Stegostoma tigrinum: one gene and its partners. The protein of the gene in region 1 purifies or fractionates together with the protein of each later gene. This does not show direct contact. Links are inferred from orthologs where the notes say so. Each region holds a gene or a part of one and is shown on either strand. Other genes may lie near its edges.

What was found. The genes of interacting proteins can lie anywhere in the genome.
Region 2: the proteins of FACT complex subunit SSRP1-like (region 1) and dhx9 fractionate together in Homo sapiens (co-fractionation; 3 studies listed by BioGRID and IntAct, with this or other methods). This does not show direct contact. The link is inferred for Stegostoma tigrinum from reciprocal best matches to the Homo sapiens genes SSRP1 and DHX9.
Region 3: the proteins of FACT complex subunit SSRP1-like (region 1) and SRSF protein kinase 1-like fractionate together in Homo sapiens (co-fractionation; 3 studies listed by BioGRID and IntAct, with this or other methods). This does not show direct contact. The link is inferred for Stegostoma tigrinum from reciprocal best matches to the Homo sapiens genes SSRP1 and SRPK1.

What each region holds. Positions count from the first base shown.
Region 1 is NC_081399.1:1,281,746-1,290,300, reverse strand, and holds the start of FACT complex subunit SSRP1-like, read left to right. Parts: upstream 1-5,253; 5' UTR 5,254-6,158; coding exon 6,159-6,218; intron 6,219-7,591; coding exon 7,592-7,777; intron 7,778-8,555. UniProt on the Homo sapiens protein: Component of the FACT complex, a general chromatin factor that acts to reorganize nucleosomes. The FACT complex is involved in multiple processes that require DNA as a template such as mRNA elongation, DNA replication and DNA repair.
Region 2 is NC_081361.1:44,889,460-44,897,095, reverse strand, and holds the start of dhx9 (ATP-dependent RNA helicase A), read right to left. Parts: upstream 3,229-7,636; 5' UTR 3,118-3,228; intron 1-3,117. UniProt on the Homo sapiens protein: Multifunctional ATP-dependent nucleic acid helicase that unwinds DNA and RNA in a 3' to 5' direction and that plays important roles in many processes, such as DNA replication, transcriptional activation, post-transcriptional RNA regulation, mRNA translation and RNA-mediated gene silencing.
Region 3 is NC_081374.1:21,669,017-21,677,440, reverse strand, and holds the start of SRSF protein kinase 1-like, read left to right. Parts: upstream 1-5,196; 5' UTR 5,197-5,275; coding exon 5,276-5,291; intron 5,292-5,418; coding exon 5,419-5,479; intron 5,480-8,424. UniProt on the Homo sapiens protein: Serine/arginine-rich protein-specific kinase which specifically phosphorylates its substrates at serine residues located in regions rich in arginine/serine dipeptides, known as RS domains and is involved in the phosphorylation of SR splicing factors and the regulation of splicing.

The DNA.
Region 1 (8,555 bases):
TACAGATGAGAGAGCCAGACCACCTCTGATCGCCCTCACTTTATCTCCCGATGGGTGTAACCCAGACTGGTCAACTCTGTAGCCCAGTGAGATGACTATTACACCCACCTAGGGGAAGCATTTAAGCGCTTTGTCTTTATTGATCTTCCCTGTTATTAGCAAGTAAATGGCAACCTGGGCTAGACATTCTCCATGGCCCACCAGGGGCCTGGTTTCGAATCCACCCCGGGTGACTGTCTGTGTGGAGTTTGCGTGTTCTCCCCGTGTTTGTGTGGGTTTCCACCGGGTGCACCGGTTTTCTCCCACAGTCCATGGATGTGCAGGCTAGGTGGATTGGCCATGCTAAATTGTCCCATAGTGTTCAGGGGTGTGTAGATTCAGTGGGTTATAGGGGACGGGTCTGGGTGGGATGCTCTGAGTCGGTGTGGACTTGTTGGGCTGAAGGGCCCATTTCCACACTGTAGGGATTCTATAAATGTTCTCCATGGCCCACTAGGAAAGGATGCAGGCTGATGTTACCCCAAACGGCAGCCTCGTGTATTGGGACAAACCTGTATGGGTATTAGTTTCTGGGACTCCTTATCTAGTTGTATTTGCAGTAGGTGTGACTCATTTCCTGCTTTCTGAAGGACAGCTCCAGGCACACACATCCCACCCCCACCCACATGCAAATGTGAACTGATCTATCAGCTTCACAATCAGTACGACCGGTGCTGCCCATTCCACACCCTGGGCTGGTTTAATAATTCCCTCACTTCCCAGCCTCCTGGTTTCTGCTTCGACCTTCACCCCTAAGGCACCGGGTGGGCCCTTGCAGGATTGTGGGATTGTTTCCTGCTCCAAATGTGTAAGTTTGCCTTGGCTCCTGCCACAGTCCCTGGACTTTCCTGAAAAATTTCTGGGTGTTTACTTCAGACTTCACTCAGGCAGCCATTTTTCAATCGAAAAATGTGAGCCAATCAAGGTGGATCTTTCTCAATTTCACCCCCATCAAGGTTGAGCCTGAACCTTTTACTACAATCAGTGCAGTGATAACTGCACTAACTGCTTATTGAAGGAGACTGGAAGTGAAGTCGTAACCCTACTTTGTGACGGTTCCCCACCACATCATCTCAGTCCGTCCAAGGGTTTGCACAAATAGTCCAGAGCAGATCTTGTTAAAGAGATAATGGGAACTGCAGATGCTGGAGATTCCAAGATAATAAAATGTGAGGCTGGATGAACACAGCAGGCCAAGCAGCATCTCAGGAGCACAAAAGCTGACGTTTCGGGCCTAGACCCTCTCTGATGAAGGGTCTAGGCCCGAAACGTCAGCTTTTGTGCTCCTGAGATGCTGCTTGGCCTGCTGTGTTCATCCAGCCTCACATTTTATTATCTCAGATCTTGTTAAAGTCTGGTTCTGCAATCACTGATGATTCTGTGCCGGTATCAACATCCATGATAACTGCGTGACCATTGAACCAGAAATTTGTTTTGTTTGGTCCAGAACAGATGCAATAGAGAGAGAGGAAACGGGAGAATGGATTGGAGTCTTTACAGGAACTAGGCTGTGAGGATGTATAGTCAGGTAGCGGTGGAAATTGGTTGGTTTGTACTTAGATATTAGTGGCCAGTCTGTCCGCAGAAATAGAAACGGATGTTGAGGGAGGGAAAGCAGGATGGACCAGTTGAAAGTGAGGGTTGGGTGGAAAGTATAAGCAAATAGATTAAACATTTCCCATTCCGGACCAGAGAGGGAGGCAGCACTGATGATATCATCAAGATACAAGACAAAGAGTTGTGGGTGCGGGCCGGAATAGGACTGGAACAAGGAATGTTCCACGTGCCCCATGAATATTCAGGCATAACTAGGTCCGATGCAGGTACCCATGGCCATCCCTCTAACCTGAAGAAAATGAGAGGAGTTGAAAGAGTTGTTGAGGGTGAGGACAAGCAATGGAGGGTGTTGGTGGGTGGGGACGGTTTAGGCCTTTTCTCCAAGAAGCGGAGAACCCTGAGACCACCGGGGTGTGGATGTGTAGAAGGATTGCACGTCCATTGGAAAGAGGAGGCAGCTGGAGCATGCAAACTAGAAATTCCGAAACTGACATAAAGGTCAGAGGAATTGCGGATGTAAGTGGCAAGGGGCTGGACAAGGGGAGAAAAATTGAGTCAACGTAGGAAGAGAAGGGTTCTGTGGAGTAGAACTCACTTATGTGAGGGTCTGACTATGAAGTCCATGCTCCCAGAGAGGGAACGTAATTTACAACACGCGTCACTTCATCATTATTTTCTATTAAGTTAATGTTTGTTGTTTGTCATTCAACATAATTATTATTATTTATTGTCTATTACTTATTGTTGGTAATAATTATTATTAGATACTTGTTTAATAGTGTTAAATATTTGTTATTATTCATAATTATTTATTATTGCATATTTATTTTGTGTAGTTTAACATTATTTGTCATTCATTTCTTGCATATTATTTATTGTTATTTAACATTTAGTTTTTTTATATTTATTGTCTACCATGTATTTGTTTATCCTTTACTAGAATTTACCACATCTGTATTGTTAGCCATTATTTAAAATTTAGGATGTTCATACTGTTTTCGTTTACATTTATTGTTCATTATTATAAATACTTATTGTTGTTTAGCATTGTTCAATAGGGAAGGACTTACAGGGTTAATAGTAAGGTCCTGGGGAATGTTGCCAAACAAAGAGACCTTGCAGTGCAGGTTCATAGTACCTAGAGTTGCAAATAGACAGGATAGTGAAGAAGATGTTTAGTACACTTGCCTTTATTGGTCAGTGTGTTGAGTCTCGGAGTTTGGAGGTCACGTTGTTGGTTGTCTTTACAGATTGTCAGTTAGGCCATTTTTGGAATACTGTCCTTATTTCTGGTCTCCTTGCTATCGGAAGGATATTGTTAAATGTGAAAGAGTTCAGAAAAGTTTCACAAGGATGTTGCTGTGGTTTGAGGGTTTAAGCTGTAGGGAGAGGCTGAACAGGCTGGGGTGTTTTCCACTGGAGCATCAGAGGCTGAGGGGGTGACCTTATAGAGGTTTATAAAATCATGAGGGGCATGGATAGGGCGAACAGTCAAGATCTTTTCCCCAGGATAGGGGAGTCCAAAACCAGAGGGCATTAGTTTAAGGTGAGAGGGCAAAGATTTAAAAGGGACCTAATGGTCAACTTTTTCGTGCAGAGAGTGGTGTGTGTATGGAATGAGCTGCCAGAGGAAGTGGTGGAAGCTGGTACAATTAAAACATTGTGAGAACCAAAACTTGCTCACAAACTCAGCCTGAGACAAAGCCTTGGAAACAAGAACAATTTTATTCTGTGCGATCATGCTATACAGGCGCACACTACAAAGCATGTGAAGCATTCTTACACAGTTTACAAGTTGCGGAATCACACCTCCCTGGTCCCATTGGTCCAATCTTATCCTATCATTCTCCATCCTATCGGGCCGCCCTTGTTTATTGTTCCCCTTTTCTGCCGGCCTAAAACCCCATCCCCCTGTTTATTCTTTCCTTATTGGGTTAGACTGGAAAGGACAAGTTATGCAGGTGGTCGTGCTAACTGCCGCCTTTGCAAAACCTAATCGTTGGTTAATAATAAACTTCTGCTACAAAATCTTGTGACTATTTATGTAATGGTCCTCTTTTGCAAGACCACACCATTCATCATTATCTGCAGAAACAACATTTCTAATCTCTCACAACATTTAAAAGGCATCTGGATAGTTACATGAATAGGAAGGGTTTGGAGGGCTATGGGCCAAATACTGGCAAATGGGACTAGATTAATTTAGGATATCTGGTCAGCATGTATGGGTTGGAGCGAAGGGTCTGTTTCTGTACTGTACAGCTGTAGGACTCTATTATTTGTTTATTTAGTAATTTATTATTTAGCGCGATTGTCATTTCAATTAATTATTCACAGGTATTATTTACCATTATTATATTACTATTTTTTTGTTCACAGTTTATTATCGTTGATCATTATTTACTCTGCATTTATTGAATGGTTTATTATAATTATTTATTTCCCATATTTTATATACTCAATAGTTATTCATTCTTCATTTTACTATTAATTATTTAGAATTGTTATTGTATGTTATTCACTGAGTATTTATTTCTTAGTGTTTATTAATATTTGTATATAATACACTATTTACTGTATATTTTTTATTAATGTTTACCGTTGTTATTTATATTTACTGTTTATTATTTACTATTAATGACTATCTCACGATTTGCTATATGTTTATTTTTGGTTATTGTTTGTTCATTATCTATTATTTAAAATTATGAATCAATATTTATTCTTTTTTTGTTTATTTTAATCATTCATTGTACATTTGTTATTGTCTACTGTTATTCGTCATCTTTGGTCATTTACAACGTTATTGTTTATTATTTACTGTTATTTATGATCATTAATTTGTTTTTTTTTCTTGTTTATTAATTTTTAAATAAAATTCTGACATTGTACCTGACCTCTGACCCCTCCAAACCTGAGCGCGGGAAGGAAGGTCATGAAGAGAAAAATAAACCAGAGGGACTGCTCCGGCTTCTAGTTCCACTTTAAATGAACAGAAGGAGCCAGAGGGGGAGAGAGAGAGAAAAAGAGATAAAATATACCGAAAAAAAACTTTTTATAAACGCTCAACCGTGTCTGAACCCACCCTCCGATTTCCGCTTCCGGTCTGGGGCGGTGCTTCTGTGACCCCAACGTATTTATTGTTGGATGAGCCTCGGGCATTCGTTTCCGGTTCCGGTCCGGCGCTGACGTGACCCCCTCCATCGTGTTTACGGCCGGGAGGTCGGCGGTTTCCGGTTCCGTTCTGCTCTTGGCGCTCACGTGGTGCTGGCGGGTAGAAGCGGGCGCGCATCAGCTCCGGGCCGAGTGGCAGCGTCTCCTCCCGCATCGTCCGGGTCCGGGTCCGGGTCCGGGTCCGGGTCGGGGGGTAGGGGGCAGCTGAGGGGGAGAAGAGGACAAACGGCTGCGGGGTCACTAGGCCCCTCCCCCAGGGCCAGAGCGGGGGTCATTAGGCCCCTCCCCTAGGTGAGAGGGGGGGTCACTAGGCCCCTCCCCCCAGGTGAGAGGGGGGTCACTAGGCCCCTCCCCCCAGGTGAGAGGGGGGGTCACTAGGCCCCTCCCCCCAGGTGAGAGGGGGTCACTAGGCCCCTCCCCCCAGGTGAGAGGGGGGTCACTAGGCCCCTCCCCCCAGGTGAGAGGGGGGGTCACTAGGCCCCTCCCCCCCAGGTGAGAGGGGGGGTCACTAGGCCCCTCCCCCAGGTGAGAGGGGGGTCACTAGGCCCCTCCCCCCAGGTGAGAGGGGGGTCACTAGGCCCCTCCCCCCAGGTGAGAGGGGGGTCACTAGGCCCCTCCCCCCAGGTGAGAGGGGGGTCACTAGGCCCCTCCCCCCAGGTGAGAGGGGGGTCACTAGGCCCCTCCCCCCAGGTGAGAGGGGGGTCACTAGGCCCCTCCCCCAGGTGAGAGGGGGGTCACTAGACCCCTCCCCCAGGGCCAGAGCGGGGGTCACTAGGCCCGTTCCCCCAGGTGAGAGGGGGGGTCACTAGGCCCCTCCCCCCAGGTGAGAGGGGGTCATCAGGCCCCTTCTTCCCCCCCCCCCAGGGCCAGAGGGGGTCACTAGGCCCCTCCCCCCAGGTGAGAGGGGGGTCACTAGGCCCCTCCCCCCAGGTGAGAGGGGGTCATCAGGCCCCTTCTTTCCCCCCCCCCCAGGTGAGGGCGTCTCAGCAGGCCCCTTCTTCCACCCCCCCCCTCCAGGGCCAGAGGGGGTCTCAGCAGGCCCCCTTCCCCCAGGGCCAGAGGGGGTTCACCAGGCCCAGCAGGAACAGGAGGAGGTCTCCGGGGAGACTGGGAACCCAGTGTTTTGGAGCAGGGGCTTGCCCAGGTACTTAGATCCCAGACGGAGAAAGACCATTTGTAGTTGGGTGCCCAGTCGGAGAGAGTCAAACAGGCCTTTGATTTAGAGCAGGGGGGCCCTTGGGCAAAGGGTCACCTGTGAAAGGAGCAGGTTGTAGCTACTGCCCAGTGCCTGCTGCTGCTGCTGCTGCTCTGTCCCCTTTGCAGCCCTGCTGGCAGCCTGACCGTATAGCTGCTGATACGAGGTGGGGTCCTTTCCCGTATAGGGCAACATGGCGAGCTCTGACATCCTCGAATACAATGACATCTACCAGGAGTTGAAAGGAACAATGGTATGTACTCGCAAGATGGTAAGGGGGGGTTGGGTCGTGGCTGGAGAGGAAATCTCAACGTCAGGACTGTGCAGAAGTGAATGCCTGTCTTTGGTGGGATGAGGTGGTGGAAGATACACTGTCTGGGTGATATCCACCTGGGGGGTGGCCTTGGTATGATCTTAGATATTTTTTGGATTCGTTGATGGGATGTGGGCATGATTAGCTGTGTCAGCATTTCTTGCCTGATCCTAACCGTTGAGAGTCAGCCACGTTGCTGTGTGTCTAGGCCAGACCAGGTGACGATAGCAGATTTCTTTCCCTGAAGGAGACTAGAGAACCGGATGAACCACCATCTGCTGCTGATTTGACTCCAGATCTCTGGATTAGTTGGCTCATGATACCACCACTAGGTCATCATCTCCGTTTGAATGGGGGTTGGGGTCACATCTGTCCTTGGGGTGGTGAGTGGCTGAGCTGGAAATTTGCATAATGACCACTTCCTGATCTCTGTCCCATAGTCTCCTCTCTGCACCCTACCCCACTCCAGGGGAGACCCCTCATGATAGTGAGCATCTCCCCCTGAGCCTTTGTGCTCGATGGAAAACCCTCCCAGAGAAGCTGCACGTGACCTGAAGTCATAGAGATGTACAGCATAGAAACAGACCCTTTGGTACAACTTGTCCACGGGGACCAGATGTCCTAAATCAATCTAGTCCCATTTGCCAGTATTTGGCCCATACCCCTTTAAACCCTTCCTATTCATAGACCCATCCAGATGCCTTTTAAATGTTGTCATTGTACCGGCCTCCTCCACTTCCTCTGGCAGCTCGTTCCATACCTGTGCCACTCTGTGCAAAAAAAAAGTTGCCCCTTAGGCCCCTTTTAAATCTTTCCCCTCCCACCTTAAACCTATGCTCCTCTAGTTTAGGACCCCCCCCCCCCCCCCCCGTCATGGGGAAAAGACCTTGGCTATTTACCCTGTCGATACCCCTGATGATTTTATAAACCTCTATATGGTCACCCTCAGCCTCCAACAGTACAGGGAAAATAGCCCCAGCCTATTCCGCCTCTCCCAGGAGCTCAAACCTTCCAAACCCAGCAATATCCTTGCAGATTGTTTCTGAACCCTTTCGAGTTTCACACCATCCTTCCTATAGCAGGGAGCCCAGAATTGAATGCAGTATTGCAAAAGTAGGCTCACTGTACAGCTGTAACATAACCTCCCAATCGGTATACTCGCTTGATTCATGGAACAGTAAAGGCCAGCGTACCGAATACCACCTTCACTGCCCTGCCTGAAGTCTGAGTCCCTGGTGGTGAGGGTGAGGAGGGAGTTCTGTCAGGGATTGTGTTGTAACCTGTGAGCTGTTCCTACCCACAACCCTGTGCAGATCGATGGACGCCTGCGTCTGAGCCGTCAGACAATTGTCTTCAAGAACAGTAAGACCGGGAAAGTGGACAGTGTCCAAGCCTCGGATGTCAGTGATGGAGTGTGGCGGCGTGTTGCCAGGGGTTATGGCATCAGGCTCCAGCTAAAGAATGGCAACCTCTGCAAGTTTGATGGATTCCGGGAAGGGGTGAGTGTGGAAAGACAGACCAAGCCTGAGGCTGTTGGGAAGGAGAATCTCCCTCCTGGCCCCTCTTTCTCCCCGCCACCCAATCACCTCTGGTCAGGAGAGCTCTTGAATTCTGTCTTGACAACTTGTTTTCCTGTCTGCAGTCACGCCACTCAACCCATCGCATCTATCCCTGTGCTTGCTGATCTTAGAGCTGATCTCCTCTTGTCCTGCTCCATCTGCCCCACTCCCTCCCTTAACCACGCACATGAGTAGGTGCACGGTATCCCACACTTCCACAAAGTGTTAGCCAACTGAGGGATATAGAGACTGGAACTGTGCACGGTGCTCCCAGTGTGGGTCTGACTGAGGGATATAGAGACAGGAACTGTGCACGGTGCTCCCAGTGTGGGTCTAACTGAGGGATATAGAGAAAGGAACTGTGCACGGTGCTCCCAGTGTGGGTCTGACTGAGGGATATAGAGACAGGAACTGTGCACGGTGCTCCCAGTGTGGGTCTAACTGAGGGATATAGAGACCGGAACTGTGCACGGTGCTCCCAGTGAGGGCCTAACTGAGGGATACGGAGGTCGGAACTGTGCACGGTGCTCCCAGCAAATAGCCATCTGTATTTGCTGGTCGATATCTTCTGTCCCACTCTCGTGCATATGCTCTGAAGTGCAGATCCTGAACTAAAGACAGAGAATGCTGGAGAAGCTCAGCAGGTCCCAGCAGCGTCTGTAGAGAGAGAAACAGAGTTGATGTTTCAAAGTAGAGTAGTTTGCACTCATTCTGCTAT
Region 2 (7,636 bases), on another chromosome or scaffold:
AGGTAGGGAGGGGATAGGTCAGTCCAGGGAAGACGGACAGGTCAAGGAGGTGGGATGAGATTAGTAGGTAGATGGGGGTGCGAGGAAGGGATGGGTGAGAGGAAGAACAGGTTAGGGAGGCAGAGACAGGTTGGACTGGTTTTGGGATGCGGGGGGGGGGGGGGGGAAGAGCTGGGCTGGTTGTGTGGTGCAGTGGGTGGAGGGGGCGAACTGGGCTGGTTTAGGGATGCAGTTGGGGAAGGGGAGATTTTGAAGCTGGTGAAGTCCACATTGATACCATTAGGCTGCGGGGTTCCCAGGCGGAATATGAGTTGCTGTTCCTGCAACGTTCGGGTGGCATCACTGTGGCACTGCAGGAGGCCCATGATGGATATGTCATCTAAAGAATGGGAGCGGGAGTGGAAATGGTCCATTCATGACCTCATCACCTCAGGGGACCTCCCACCCACAGCCTCCAAACTTATTATTCCCCAAACCCGCTCGGCCCGTTTCTATCTCCTTCCCAAAATCCACAAACCTGCCTTCCCTGGTCGACCCATCGTCTCAGCCTGCTCCTGCCCCACCGAACTCATCTCCACCTATCTGGACTCCATTTTCTCCCCTTTGGTCCAGGAACTCCCCACCTACGTCCGTGACACCACCCACGCCCTCCACCTCCTCCAGGACTTCCAATTCCCTGGCCCCCAACACCTCATCTTCACCATGGACGTCCAGTCCCTATACACCTGCATTCCGCATGCAGATGGCCTCAAGGCCCTCCGCTTCTTCCTGTCCCGCAGGCCTGACCAGTCCCCCTCCACCGACACCCTCATCCGCCTAGCTGAACTCGTCCTCACACTCAACAACTTCTCTTTTGACTCCTCCCACTTCCTACAGACTAAGGGGGTGGCCATGGGCACCCGCATGGGCCCCAGCTATGCCTGCCTCTTTGAGGGTTACGTGGAACAGTCCCTCTTCCGCACCTACACAGGCCCCAAACCCCACCTCTTCCTCCGGTACATTGATGACTGTATCGGCGCCGCCTCTTGCTCCCCAGAGGAGCTCGAACAGTTCATCCACTTCACCAACACCTTCCACCCCAACTTTCAGTTCACCTGGGCCATCTCCAGCACATCCCTCACCTTTCTGGACCTCTCAGTCTCCGTCTCAGGCAACCAGCTTGGAACTGATGTCCATTTCAAGCCCACCGACTCCCACAGCTACCTAGAATACACCTCCTCCCCCCCACCCACCCTCCTGCAAAAATTAGATCCCCTATTCCCAATTCCTCCGCCTCTGCTCCCACGATAAGACATTCCACTCCCGCACATCCCAGATGTCCAAGTTCTTCAAGGACCGCAACTTTCCCCCCCACAGTGATCGAGAACGCCCTTGACCGCGTCTCCCGTATTTCCCGCTACACATCCCTCACACCCCGCCCCCGCCACAACCGCCCAAAGAGGATCCCCCTCGTTCTCACACACCACCCTACCAACCTCCGGATACAACGCATCATCCTCCGACACTTCCGCCATTTACAATCCGACCCCACCACCCAAGACATTTTTCCATCCCCTCCCCTGTCTGCTTTCCAGAGAGACCACTCTCTCCGTGACTCCCTTGTTCGCTCCACACTGCCCTCCAACCCCACCACACCCGGCACCTTCCCCTGCAACTGCAGGAAATGCTACACTTGCCCCCACACCTCCTCCCTCACCCCTATCCCAGGCCCCAAGATGACATTCCACATTAAGCAGAGGTTCACCTGCACATCTGCCAATGTGGTATACTGCATCCACTGTACCCGGTGCGGCTTCCTCTACATTGGGGAAACCAAGCGGAGGCTTGGGGACCGCTTTGCAGAACACCACCGCTCAGTTCGCAACAAACAACTGCACCTCCCAGTCGCAAACCATTTCCACTCCCCCTCCCATTCTTTAGATGGCATGTCCATCATGGGCCTCCTGCACTGCCACAATGATGCCACCCGAAGGTTGCAGGAACAGCAACTCATATTCCACCTGGGAACCCTGCAGCCTAATGGTATCAATGTGGACTTCACCAGTTTCAAAATCTCCCCTTCCCCAACTGCATCCCTAAACCAGCCCAGTTCGCCCCCTCCACCCACTGCACCACACAACCAGCCCAGCTCTTCCCCCCACTGTATCCCAAAACCAGTCCAACCTGTCTCTGCACCCTAACCGGTTCTTCCTCTCACCCATCCCTTCCTCCCACCCCAAGCCGCACCCCCATCTACCTACTAATCTCATCCCACCTCCTTGACCTGTCCGTCTTCCCTGGACTGACCTATCCCCTCCCTACCTATACTCTCTCCACCTATCTTCTTTTCTCTCCATCTTCGGTCCGCCTCCCCCTCTCTCCCTATTTATTCCAGTCCCCTCTCCCCATCCCCCTCTCTGATGAAGGGTCTAGGCCCGAAACGTCAGCTTTTGTGCTCCTGAGATGCTGCTTGGCCTGCTGTGTTCACCCAGCCTCACATTTTATTATCCTGGAATTCTCCAGCATCTGCAGTTCCCATTATCTCTAAATATAATTCAGTCCTAATTTTCTCTGTATTCTACCATAATAATAATGCCAATGGTTGGTTTAAAGTCATCACAAGTAGGTGAGGAACGAGTGCGACGATTATGAATTTTCATTATGATCATGAGCACATTAATTTATAAAGAGGTTTCCGATTAGAATATTTTATGTTAGCACGCATTACCAAAATTAAACTTGTGTTCTTCAAACAAAAGACTGCGTATACTGAAAACAAATAGAAACGGTTAAAAGGTGGTGGTGGAGGTACCTAGTTCACGTTCCGAGTCCGAGTCCAATTTGACTGTTAAGAGTCAAATTGGACTCGAAAACAAAACCTGATTTCTTCCCTCGAGGTCCAAACCTCAAAATTTTAAACTTCTACAGTTGGTGCTGGAAGGGTAGCCATTCCCTGAAACCATGAGTGACTCGTGACAAAGTGCGCTGTGCGGAAGCTCTGACAACCATATCACGCACAGTCTGCAACGAGTCCGGAGACCGTCACCTCAAAGGAGGGGGAATCATCGGCGGTCACCAAACCCCACTCTCCGCCATCCCTCACCCGCTTCCCCGCCATCAAACCCGGGCGCCACTCACCGTAAGCCAGCTGCCGGGTTCCACGAACCGCCGCTGGCCTCCGACCCGGGATCCGGGACAACAAAATGGCGTCACCCCCTTTCCCCAAAGACAGCAACTTCCACAGGAAGCGGGGGAAAAGAAGTCTCCACACCTTCCTTACATTTTACAAACTACCAATTGCTGTAAAGGCCGGAAATCATTTACATTTCAGTAATGTACTTCTACTGTAATTTTAAAATACTAACACCAAGATTTATTAGGTTTTACCTCAACTTTGTTTTGTTCTCCAGCTTCCTACATCCACCCCCACCTCCAACCAGTTGGTTTGGTCAAAGACAATCTCGGATGAAGGCGTGAGGTGCTACTGAATCAACAACTGCTTTCATTTATAGAGCGCTTTTAATTCAGCAAAGTGAAAAAGCATCACAGTAATATTATGAAACGAAATTGTGCACAATCATGGAAAGTACTATTAATTCAGATAAACAAAAAAAATTGGCCAAGAAAATGGGGTTCTTGTACCACTATCTCCCATATATTTTCCACATTTCCGCTCTTTCCCTTCCTACAGAGAGCCACACACGCTTCCTTTTCCGTCTTCCCCCAAATTTTCACATTAAACGTTACATGGCTGTAACACATCTTCCCCTTTCAACTGCCCTGCGGACCATTCCAAAACGTCCTCTTCCCCTTTCCTCCCGTCTTTCAAGTAAACAGGGAGATCAAACGCTTGCCCTTTTACCTAATCTCCCTTAAACAGTATCCAAGGCCATCCATTTAGACGAAATAGGATTGCCTGTGTCAATTCTAATTTTGTACACTCGGAAATCGAACGAGGTTAAATAATCTTGTGGAACATTTCGTTCAGTTCACAAGCATATGAGACCAAATTAGCAATCATTAGTCATTTTCAATCTCCATCTTGTGATGTGTTACCGTCTATGAGCCTCCTGCTGTTCCAACGTAGCTCAAGGAGTCTAATCTTGGAGTATGTTGCATATAGGGAATGAACTGAGGGGTAAGTGGTAGAGGAGGGTACAATTACAACATTTAAAATGCATTTGGACAGGTTCATGAATGGCAAAAGTTTAGGGGGCCTGTTTGTCCGGAAATGAGCCAAATTCAGGCAAATGGAACTAGTTTAGTTTGGGAAAACTGGTCAGAATGGACGAGTTAGAGTGAAAGATCTGTTTCTGTGCTGTGTGACTGAATCTTTCCATTGGGCCCTTTCCAGTATGAAAATACCTCAACAATTTCGGTGTATAATTTCAAAGGCTTATCTAAATATTTGTTTTATTTTTCTGTTATCCCTTTATTTGCTTTTCTTACTTTTTGAATTTTCCTGGTTTGATGAAATGTTATCTCTTTCCCTGGAAGCCTGTTGAATATATCAAAATTTTTTTGTGTTTATTTCAAATTTTCTGTAACTGCAGTATTTTACTTTTTTTTAAACATGTCTCTTAAAAGAGGAAAGAGAGGTGGGCCAGAACAGCAACAGATGAGCTCACGTGGACCAGAATCAAGCAATGTTACAAGGGAGATCTTAATGATGATCATGGTCAGCAGTGCCTCTATGATGGCCCACCCACCTCCAAAGCATAAAATTTCAAAACTTAGTTCCACTTGGGGGCTTGAGTACAAAAATCAAGGCCCATATTCCAGGGCCAAATACTGAGGGAGTGCTTCAGTATTGAAGGTGCAGTCATAGAATGAGATGTTAAAACTGATTTTCTACCTGTTCAGATGGAATTTTTAAATTCCTTGATGGAATATGGGTGTCACTGGCTAGGGTGGCATTTATTTCTCATCCCAGATTACCCTAGAGAAAGTGTGGTGAGTAGCTTTCTTGAACTTGCTGTTCCTGAGGTGTAGGGGGGTTACACACAACTGTTAAGAAGGGAATATCAGTTGATGACCCAGTGACAGTGAAGGAATGACAATATTGTTCCAAGTTAGGATCATTGCAAGAGCAAAGTTTTTGGCGAAGATCTGTAGCTCTGATGGGTGAGGTTGTTAACTTGCTTGCCGAGCTGGCCTGTTCTCGTTCAGACATTTCATCAGCATGCTAGGTGACGTTATCAGTGGAGCCTCCGAGGAAGTGGTGTTATTCTAGTCCGCTTGGATTTTATACTGTTTGGTCCATTATGATGAGTAAACTACGATTAAGGTACTGTTAAGGAAATTTGATGAGTTACTGCGCTGCATCTTGTAGATGCACACTGCTGACACTGCATCAGCAGTGAGGTGGGTGAGTGTTGTACATGATGGATGGGGTTCCAGTGAAGTGGACTGCTTTGTTCTCTATGGTGTCAAGCTTCTCAAGTGATACTGGAACTGTGGTGAAGCAGAGAAGAGTATTCTATCACACTCTAGACTTGTGACTTGGAGACGGTGGAAAGAGGTTACTGATGAGACAGGAAGTGAGTGATTCACTGCAGAATTCCTGGCCTCTGACCTGTTCTTGTAGCCACAATATTTATATTGTATTCCAGCACTTCTTGATTATTCATAAGTTTTACGTTGGTTCTGTTCTCAATTTTGCTTTGGAGCTGTGAACTGGAAATTTTGAGCTGAAGATGACTAGTGGCCTTTGTGGAACAGCTTGTGGGTAAGAGAAAAAGAACAAACCTACTAAGATTTGTTTGTTTGAGAGGTTAGGCCTAGAGACTAACTGAAGGATAACTTTTGATTAAAAGGGTTCCTACCACCACAAAGACCCCAGAAGGAGCATTGTGTTTAAACAGATAGCAGAACTTGGCTATTAACCTGCTCAGTACCTGGGAAGTGATGATGTATTCAAGCAGATAGCAGATGCTGAATAGTAATTGAGGTTTCAGGAAAAGTTGGGCATTCTCTCAGGGCAAAGTTGAAGATTTTTTTAAAAAATGTATTTTCTGGGGAGATGGGTTTGGCAGCTAGTGACACAGAATGAAGATTTGAAAGCTCCCAGACTAACCCCCCCCCACACACTATGGAAGCTGAAAGAGTAGAAAGCTGAGCTACCTTTAACTGAGTGAACTGAAAAGGTAGCTATGATCGGTGTTCCCAAAAAAACAGCTAGGCAGTCCATATTTATGTCCATGAAACAACACTATCAAACATTTAAGTCATCAGGACAGTTTCATTATTTTCTTTATCCATTAACTATTGGTTTATCTGTCTGCCTTTAGTGTGGATGTAGGCTATGAACAAATGTTTCAGGGTAAAAGCTTATACATCAATTAGATGACTTTTTTAATCACAAATTATTGTACATTTTAAGATATAAAACTGGTGTCTGGAATTAATTATTCACAAAGTCAGAGATTTTTTATTCAAAAATCTGGTTAAGAGCCATTGCACTATCTGTCCGGGTATTTCGAACGGTTAAATTTTACTGTCTGGTGAATAGAGTTGGAAAGACTGATTTGGTTCAGACTTGTCTCCACATCGTAACAATTGCTTTTGCAGTTCAATTTCTGGCCAATTGTAACTGTGTAGGACATTGTCCCCAGTTATTTAAATTACCAACACTCAACGATTTGATTTCCTTGCCTTGTTTTGAGATGGTCAATGCTTGGCACTTGTGTGGAAAAAAATGTTACATACTCAAGTCTGGATAACGGCCAGGTCATGCTGCACGTGGAAATAGACTGCTTCAGTACTTGAGTCATGAATGATACTGAGCATTCTGAAGCGGAACCGTTCATTATTGATGGAAAAGGATGGAAGGATGTAGAAGAAATTATTTTGAGAAAAAGTAGGAATAATCCTGGTTGGGTGGTCAATATTTATACCTCTGTGAGCACTGAAAACAAATTCTGGTCTTTATCAAATTGCTGTTTGAGAGAGATCACTAAGCAAATATCAGCCACTGCATTTTCATTACGATATTTCAGAAACAACTTCACTGATTGTAAAGCAGTTTGAGACATCTGGTGACTGCAAAAGCAGATGTAAATGCAAGTTCTGTTTGTTAAAAATGGTATAGAATTTTATTAGGGCATTTGTCCTGAGAGGGTTAGCTCGAAAGTTTTGAAAAAGAAAGACGCCACCCAATGATATAAATGACTGTCTTTGGGATAAGTTAGTTAATTGTTCCAGTTTGTAATTAGTCAGTTCTACAAACCACAGTCATGTAGCATAGACCTAGTTACTGTGTTGCAACTGATACAGTCTTACTTACGTTGTCACAAAGTTTACTAGTCTTAGCTAATGTAATCTAGCATCTTATGATTGTGTAATAAACTTCCTCATTGCACAAGTACATTGCGGGTTCGGCTGAAGATTTACTCATGTTTAAACCTGCATTACTAACTGTAATAAATCCTATACATCTGCATTACAAGGAGGGTTGGTGATAGCAAAATCTACACAGCGAAGATCCAATCAGAACCACATGCCAGCTGTAGGCATCTCTTATAAAATCAGAAAATGCTGGAGAAACTCAGTGGTTGTGGTAACATCCGTGGTGGGAGAAACAGGTAAAATCTTGAGTTCAATACAATAATTCTTCAGAACTGGACTGGAAACTATAACTTTCATTCTAACACATTTT
Region 3 (8,424 bases), on another chromosome or scaffold:
TCAATTCAACCAAAACGTTTTATGTGGTATGTAACTGGGTGCATTGCAATCACAACTGCTTTGGACCACATTCCGAAAACAATGTATTATTACTTGACAGGGTAACAAAAGATAATTTGTCCATTTTTGCTTTCTTTTTCAAGGACAAGATAAGAACAATGAATGGCAACAGCAAAAACATTCACATTTATGTAACACTTTAAATGAACAAATATGGCCAAAATCATTTTATAAAAGCAAAATTAAAGAAATGTTAGGAAGTGTGGAGATAATCTTAGCCAAAGAGTTAGATTTAAGGAGGGATTTGAAGGACAGAGATGTGGAAAGGAATTCTGCAATGTTGAAATTAAGCAACTGCAGACATGACTGGCAATAGTAGCGTACAAAACTAGAAGATGCACAAGAGACTTGTGCAAATAAATTGGAAAGTTTGGGGATAGATTTTCAGCAAGTAAAGGTTATACAGCAAGGAAAGGGCAAAATGACGGCCAATCCTAAATGTAAAGATCATAATCTTAAATTTGAGGCATGGGTGGAATCAGTCAGCAAGATAGGCTGGGGATTAAGTAGTTTCACCTTAGGATGCAGGCAGCATAGCTCCGAATAAACTTGACTTTATGGAGTTTGAAGGACACATAGTTATCCAGAAGAGTTGTGTGCAGAAGTGACAAAAATAATATAAGCGAATGTGCCAAATAGGTCAGAGGTAATCAGAAGGAGACTGACAGTGCTTTTTGTGAAGGATAGGATATATAATTGGAAACTCTGAAGGGACTGAACAGGTTGCCAAGGTCTTGAACAGTTTGTTTCAACTTAAACCAACAGCCAGGGAGGAGAATGAAGTCGGTGTCATGGATATGGAGTTTGTGACAGGGCCAAATTTGATAACTTGATAGCTGGAAGAGATAATTGCTCATCCAAGACTGGAGGTCAGACAAGGAATATGTTAACACAGAAAATGAAGAAGGGACAGAGGTAGATGAGGGCAAAAGAAATGATGAAGTGATAGCCAAAGTTGATGGCCATGAGATAATTCCACTGTGATGTTGCAAGAATGGCAAGAGACTTTATTGCTCAAGTTAAGGGGGTCATAGCTTCTCCCTTTCTTGGCCTCCTTTCAGTCAATCACAACAAATATACAAGTACACAAGAAATATATTTTTGTTTTGCTTCTCTTTTAGCATCTAGCCATGACACTTCAATCAACTTAGTTAACCCAGATTTAAAATGGAGAGCCAATTCTAGTGGTTTCTTGAGTGAAGGACAGTAGTGTTTTAGTACATCAAAGAAATAACGAAAAGTGACAAACACACGGACAAAAACACTGCTGTGAACTTACAGAGAAGGTTAGAGGTGAATCTGTATTTAATATAGGTTGGGAAATAAAGGCGAATGTTAAGTTATAGTTTTCCAGCGTCTTCGAGTTGTATGAAGGCAGTACGACTGAGATGTCATTGGAAGAGGTTCAGGGATTCCCCCATGTCATATGTTGCAGATGTCAGGAGAGTAAACAGATTGTGGTACATGTATGGATTAATTAATGAATTTATGCCAGTGGGATAGATTCATTCCTGCCATAGGGATAGAAATCAGTACACAGACTGATCTTAAGGGACTTGATAGGACAGGCTGTTTCTCCTTGTGCAAGAGTCTAGGACCAAAATGCATATTCTCATAAGGGGTCACATGTTTAAAACAGAGATGACAAGGAATTTCTTCTCTCTGAGGCTTGCAAATCTGTGTAATTATTTATTGCGGAGGGCTGTTGAGGCTGGGTTGTTAGGTATAGTCAAGAGGAAGATAGATTTTTAATCAGGAAGGAAATCAAGAGTTAAGGAAAAGGACAGTGGAATTGAGGATTATCAGATCAGTTTTGATCTCAATGAATGGTGGAGCAGGCTTGATGTGTTAACTGGGCTACTTCTGCTCCATATCTTATAGCCTGTAACTTGTACAGTGCAAATATTACTTGCCACTTGTCAGCCTAAGCCTGAATGTTGTCCACATCTTGCTGCATCTGGACATGGACTGTTTCACTATCTGAGGAGTCACAAATGATACAGAACATTGTGCAATGAGCAGCAGTCATCCTCATTTCTGATATTACGATGAAGGGAAGGCCAAGAGGATGGTGGTGTCTTTTCCCAGCTCTGGTGCAAAACCATTTATCTGAAACATTAACTGTTTTTATTTCCACAGTATTACAGAGTTGTTACTGAGTAGAACGAAGCCATTCATTCCTGCACTGGGTCTCTAAGAGAGCATTTGATTTAGAGTCATTTCTCTGCATTCTCACCAAAATCCTACACATTGTTCCTTTTCATTGTTCTGTCTAATTTGCTTTTAAACATCTAAATTGAACCTGTCTCCATCACTCTCCAGACAGTGCATTCTGGATCTTAACTACTCATTGCTTGACTTATATCACTTTTACTTCTTTTACTAATTAGTTTAATTACGTGCCTTCTTGTTCTCCAATCTTTCATGAGTGGAAACATTTTCTACTAATTTACTTTGTCCAGTGCTGTCATCATCTTAAGTACTTCATTCAGATCTCCTCTCAGTCTTCTCCTCTCCAAGGAAAGCAGTCCCAATGTCTCCCATCTATCTTCATAACTGGAATTCCTCATTCCTGGAATAACTCCCATAAACATAATCTATAGTTCCGCGAATGCCTTCATTGTGAATGCCTATTTTGTGAGTTATGTGCCCAAAACAGACATGGTACTTAAGCTGAGACTGAATGTAAGTTTAGCATATCCTACCTGTCTTTACTCTATTTCCCCGATTAAAATAAAAGGTGTGTTTTAATAGCTGGTCACCCTTTGTGACTAAAAACATACACAACCAAGTTCCTCTGCTTCTGCACTCATTTTAAGACCATAAGAGCATAAGACATAGGAGTGGAAGTAAGGCCAGTTGGCCCATCGAATCCACTCCACCATTTAATCATGACTGATGGGCATTTCAGCTCCACCTATTCATACTCTAACCGTAACTCTTAATTCCTTGCGAGATCAAGAACTTATCAATCTCTGCCTTGAAGACACGTAACATCCCAGCCTCCACTGCGCTCCGTGGCAATGAATTCCACAGGCCCACCAATCTCTGGCTGAAGAAATGTCTCATTTCCATTCTAAATTGACCCCCTCTAATTCTAAGCCTGTGCCCACGGCTCCTAGTCTCCCCGCGTAACAGAAACAACTTCCCAGCGTCCACCCTTTCTAAGCCATGCATTATCTTGTAAGTTTCTATTAGATTTCTCCTCAACCTTCTAAACTCTAATGGATACAATCCCAGGATCCTCAGCCGTTCATTGTATGTTAGGCCTACCATACTAGGGATCATCCGTGTGAATCTCTCCTGGACACTCTCCAGTGTGGCCCAAAATTAGACACAGTATTCTAAATGGGGCCTAATTAGAGCTTTATAAGGTCTCAGAAGCACATCGTCGCTTTTATATTCCAAACCGCTTGAGATAAACGACAACATTACATTCACTTTCTTAATCATCAACCTGCAAGTTAACCTTTAGAAAATCCTGGACCAGCATTCCCAGATTCCTTTGTACTTCAGCTTTATGAATTTTCTCAACGTTTAGAAAATTGTCCATGCCTGTATTCATTTTTCCAAAGTGCAAGACCTCGCATTTGCTCACATTGAATTTCATCAGCCATTTCCTGGACCACTCTCCTAAACTGTCTTAACTCTTTCTGCAGCCTCCCCACCTCCTCAGTACTACCTGCTTGTCCACCTAACTTCGTATCATCGGCAAACTTTGCCAGAATGCCCCCAGTCCCTTCATCCAGATCATTAATAAATAAAGTGAACAGCTGCGGCCCCAACACTGAACCCTGCGGGACACCACTTGTCATTGGTTGCCATTCCGAAAAAGAGCCTTTTATCCCTAATCTCTGCCTTCTGTCAGACAGCCAATCCTCAATCCATGCCATCAGCTCACCTCGAACACCATGAGCCCTCACCTTGCTCAGCAGCCTCCTGTGAGGCACCTTGTCATAGGTCTTTTGGAAGTCTAGATAGATAACATCCACTGGGTTTCCCTGGTCTAACCTACTTGTTACCTCTTCAAAGAATTCTAACAGGTTTGTCAGACACGACCTCCCCTTACTAAATCCATGCTGACTTGTTCTAATCCGGCCCTGCACTTTCAAGAATGTAGAAATCTCATCCTTAATGATGGATTCTTGAATTTTACCAACAATCGAGGTTAGGCTAATCGGCCTATGATTTTCCATCTTTTGTCTTGATCCTTTCTAAAACAAGGGGGTTACAACAGAAACTTTCCAATCATCTGGGACGATCCATGACTCCAGTGACTTTTGAAAGATCACAACCAATGCCTCCACTATTTCCTCAGCCACCTCCCTCAGAACTCTAGGATGTAGCCCATCGGGGCCAGGAGATTTATCAATTTTTAGACCTTCTAGCTTTTCTAGCACTTTCTCTTTTGTAATGCCTACCATACTCAATGCTACCCCTGACTCTCCTTAATTGTCCGGATATTACTCATGTCTTCCACTGTTTTAGAGTTGCACCCTTTACTTCAAGTTGTCTCTCCAGATCTTCCTTCAAAAATGCATTGCTTACACCTGTATTTTGAATTTGCCACCTACCTGCCCATTCAACATATCCCTGTCTATATCCCTCTCGAAAGTGCTACACTACTCTCCCTAGTTTACAATGCTTCCAAGTTTTGTATGATTTGCAAATATTGAAATCATACCCTTCACAGCATAGTCTATGTCATTAACGTACATCACAAAAAGGAAAGGGCCCAACACTGATTCCATCCCAAGCCTTTGCCTGATGGGGAGAAAATCCATTAAGCATTACTCTCCCCCCCGCGTCATTCAACCAATTTTGGAACTATATTATTACTGCACCTATCATTCCACAAAGTCCAATACCGCCTGAACTACTGAATATTTCCAGAAATTACTCTAATGATAAGAGAATTTGCAGATTTAAGTAAGGACACTCCAAAAACTTGGACACGAAGAACCAAAAATATCAAGCGCCTCAACTAACGTCGACTGACGGCAGTGCTAACAGGAGGTTTGCCCACCACCTCGCGGTCGGAGGTCGGAACAGCAGCCGGGGAACGGGCCCCCACCCCACCTGGCGGTCAGAGGTCGGAACAGTAGTTGGTGGGTGGTTCCGGGTGGGGAGGAGGGGCGGGATAAGAGAACGATAGTTAGAAAAAGCAGTGGGTTTGCGCTTGCGCGCTGGTGATTGTGTGGGGACCGGTTCCAACATGAGCTCCCGAAAAGGTGAGGGAGCCTTTCAGCCGGCTTGGCCTTACCGGTGGGGTGGTGTAGTCACAAACATCCGTTTTGTATACCCTCAATTACCGCTCTAACCTTCTTCCTTCTCTTTCGGATTTTTCCCCCCCCCCAGTTCTGGCTCTGCAAGCGCGCAAGAAGCGAAGCCGAATCAAAAAGGAGAAGATTCTGAAGAAGTGAGTGGGGATGGTTTCGGAGCCGGGGCTGCTCGCACTCTGTCGCCCGCCTGCTGGCAGCGCCAGGCCGAGGCTTACGCTGCGGCCCGGGCCTTGTGGGCTGATTCTAGACCCTCACCTATTTCTCCTGCCCCCCCCCCCCCCCCCCCCCATCCGCCACACACCTTTCCCCATTGCGACCATCTGGTCGGTTCTTGATTTTGTTGCTGTTGCAGCGTCTGGTTTGGGATCTACTGTGTGGATGGATGGATGGTAGTTGGCTGGATGGGGGTTGGTGGCTTGGGGTACAGGGTTGGAGAGTGTTTTTTTTAAAGCCGTGTGCAGCCCACAAAGAGCCTTTCATCCACGCAAGGCGATTGACTTTTTTTTTACTTTGAAAGTTTTATTACGTTCCATTGACAAAAAAGTGATACATAAACGTGGATTGAGTTGTTGCAATCTGCACAAACTTTGCGATTAATTCTCGTTCTTTTTCCTGTAGTTGAGTTGTTCAATATTTTAATTTTTGCTGAAGCCACAGAGAGGACATGAGTTTTTTGAGAAGTGAGGTGGTTGAGGCTGTGATTTAAATAAACCTCTTCTGTTTCGTTCTACTTTCTACAGTCAAGTCTCTGGTTTCTGTTGTTTGAAGACGTGTTTGCCACTGCGCCGTCAAAGTTGTTGAGGGTGTTTTGAAGCTTCCAGAGGGTATATTTGAAATGGCCTCATATTGACTGGAGTCATGAGGTTGAGGTTGAGATATCTAGGAAAACCAATTAACAGGTTGAGTAGAATTGTAAAGTGGCAATGATGTCTTCAAGTATGATGAGGTGATCTTATAGAAAGATGGTTGACCATTGGTTAGGTGGTCTTGAGCAGGCTTTTTACAGTAAGGGATTTTGGTGAAGGATGCTATTCCTGATGTTGACCAAGAGAACATCGAAAAAGTTAAGTCTGCAGATGATTCAGATCTAGACCAAACTTTCTACAGCTAATAAGGTAGGCCAGAGATTGTTAATGGTATAGAATTCAAAATTATTGGTGCATTAGGATTTAGCACGCTGTGTTTGGTCATATAGTGTTAGCTGAAGCAAATCTGTTTTTGACAGGCTAGCTCTATAGGTTATGATTGTCCAGTCAGTTAGGTAACTGCACTCTGATCTTTCAGGGTATTGCTTTTGAAATCTGTTCACGATCATTTTGCAGCTTGGTAACCATGAAAACAATTTGCTTCTGTGATGTGGGATCATAATGTGAGTTACATCACAAAGCAGCTTTAACGGATCCATTTTCTTAAAGGGCTTTTGAAACTGGATGTAAAAAAGGCTTGTTATTAATTGGAATACTGATAGAATGTCTTGATAGATATGTCTTGATGTATTGTTGAAAGATAACTTACTGTTCCTTGTCAGTTCATAACCTCAGTTACTTCGATTCAATGTGGTTATGATGAGCACTTAGCAGCTGTGGAACTTAAGCCCTTTCCACTTCTGTGAAGTGCAGCAGGAAACTTTTTGCATGCAGAAACAGGCTTTCTGCCCTACTTCCAGCAAAATAAATCCCATTGGATTTTGACTTTTAATTCCACCTTGTTTAGTTCCTCAAGCTGTATCTGGCCTCCTGGATTGGTAATGTTGAACTGCTGTAATGGTGGGTATGTGCAATATAAAGGGCTATGTAAAGGTTTTTCCCCCTTGTTTGGCTGTTTATAAAAAAGATCAAATACCAGAAAAAATTCAGAATGAATACTCCTGTGTTACCATTTTTGCTTCAGTGTATTTGTGTGGTGATCTGAAGGCAATATCACTTCATATTTTGGGCAGCAGTAGAATACAGAACAAATACTACTTTAAGTACAAAGAAATACAGGAATAAATCTAATGAAAACATTCCAATATACTGAGAAACAAAAACATTCTCTTTGAGGTGGAAATCTTCATAGCGAGGTTATCAGTTAAAATACCCTAAGAAAATGGGTTATCAGTGTAAAATCCTTTGTCGTGAATAGTTGAATAATTTGCCTCTTCAAGGAAAATTGGATAAACTGTTGAAATGAAGATTTCTCTTCAATTAGTCTGACAGAGCTAGTACAGTTGCAGGAGATTAAACTCTTCTAAGCATGGTTCTAAATATTTTATACTTGTGATTGCAACAGTTTTCTAGTGTTTCTCCAGAATGAGCAGAATACATCAAATCTGTCAACCTCTAGGCAGAATCCATATTGACTTATGGATCTTAGCAATTTTTGGGTTGTTTAGGTTGGGCATGTAGACTGACAATATCTTTTTTATAATAAAGAATACAAGGGGCAGTTTTATAAGAAGTAGAAATGTTGCAAAATAACCCAGGAAATTCTTCCGAGATGCTCCAAATCCATTGGCATAACTTTACTGGAAGTGGAGCAGAATGTCAGCTTGTGCATGTAAGTAAAGGTCCTGTTGCACTTTATTGAAGTGGAAATGGCTCCAAGGACTTTTCCAACCAAATATGTCAGTGAGCAGACCAAGTTGGGTGATAGTTTTAAAAAAAAATCCAGTTTTCAGCTTGAGCTGATACACTGTCCTTAGAGTAAATTCAAAGGAATTACTCATGGAAATGAAAGTGTCTTGCTACTTCAGTGATTTCGCAAAATGCATTGAAGTGTTTTCACTTATAACTGAAGATTTAATTGGCACCAATAACTGCTGTATTTTAATCTGTCATTTTAAATCTGTTGCTTTATGACTATTATAGACAGTGGATTTCAGGAAATTTGATTACTTTCTGGTTATACCTGCTGGGCAGTGTAAAACCTGTGCTTTCAGTGATTGTTTCATTTGAGCATGGGTACGAAAGTCATGTGAGAAAATTTCAAGCAGGAAATCTATAAAATACATGCTTCTTGTTCACATGCAAGGTTACTATGTTTACAGAAAGGATGTTTGAACCGTGAATATACTGCAAGGGAAAAATTACTTTCTTTTGTT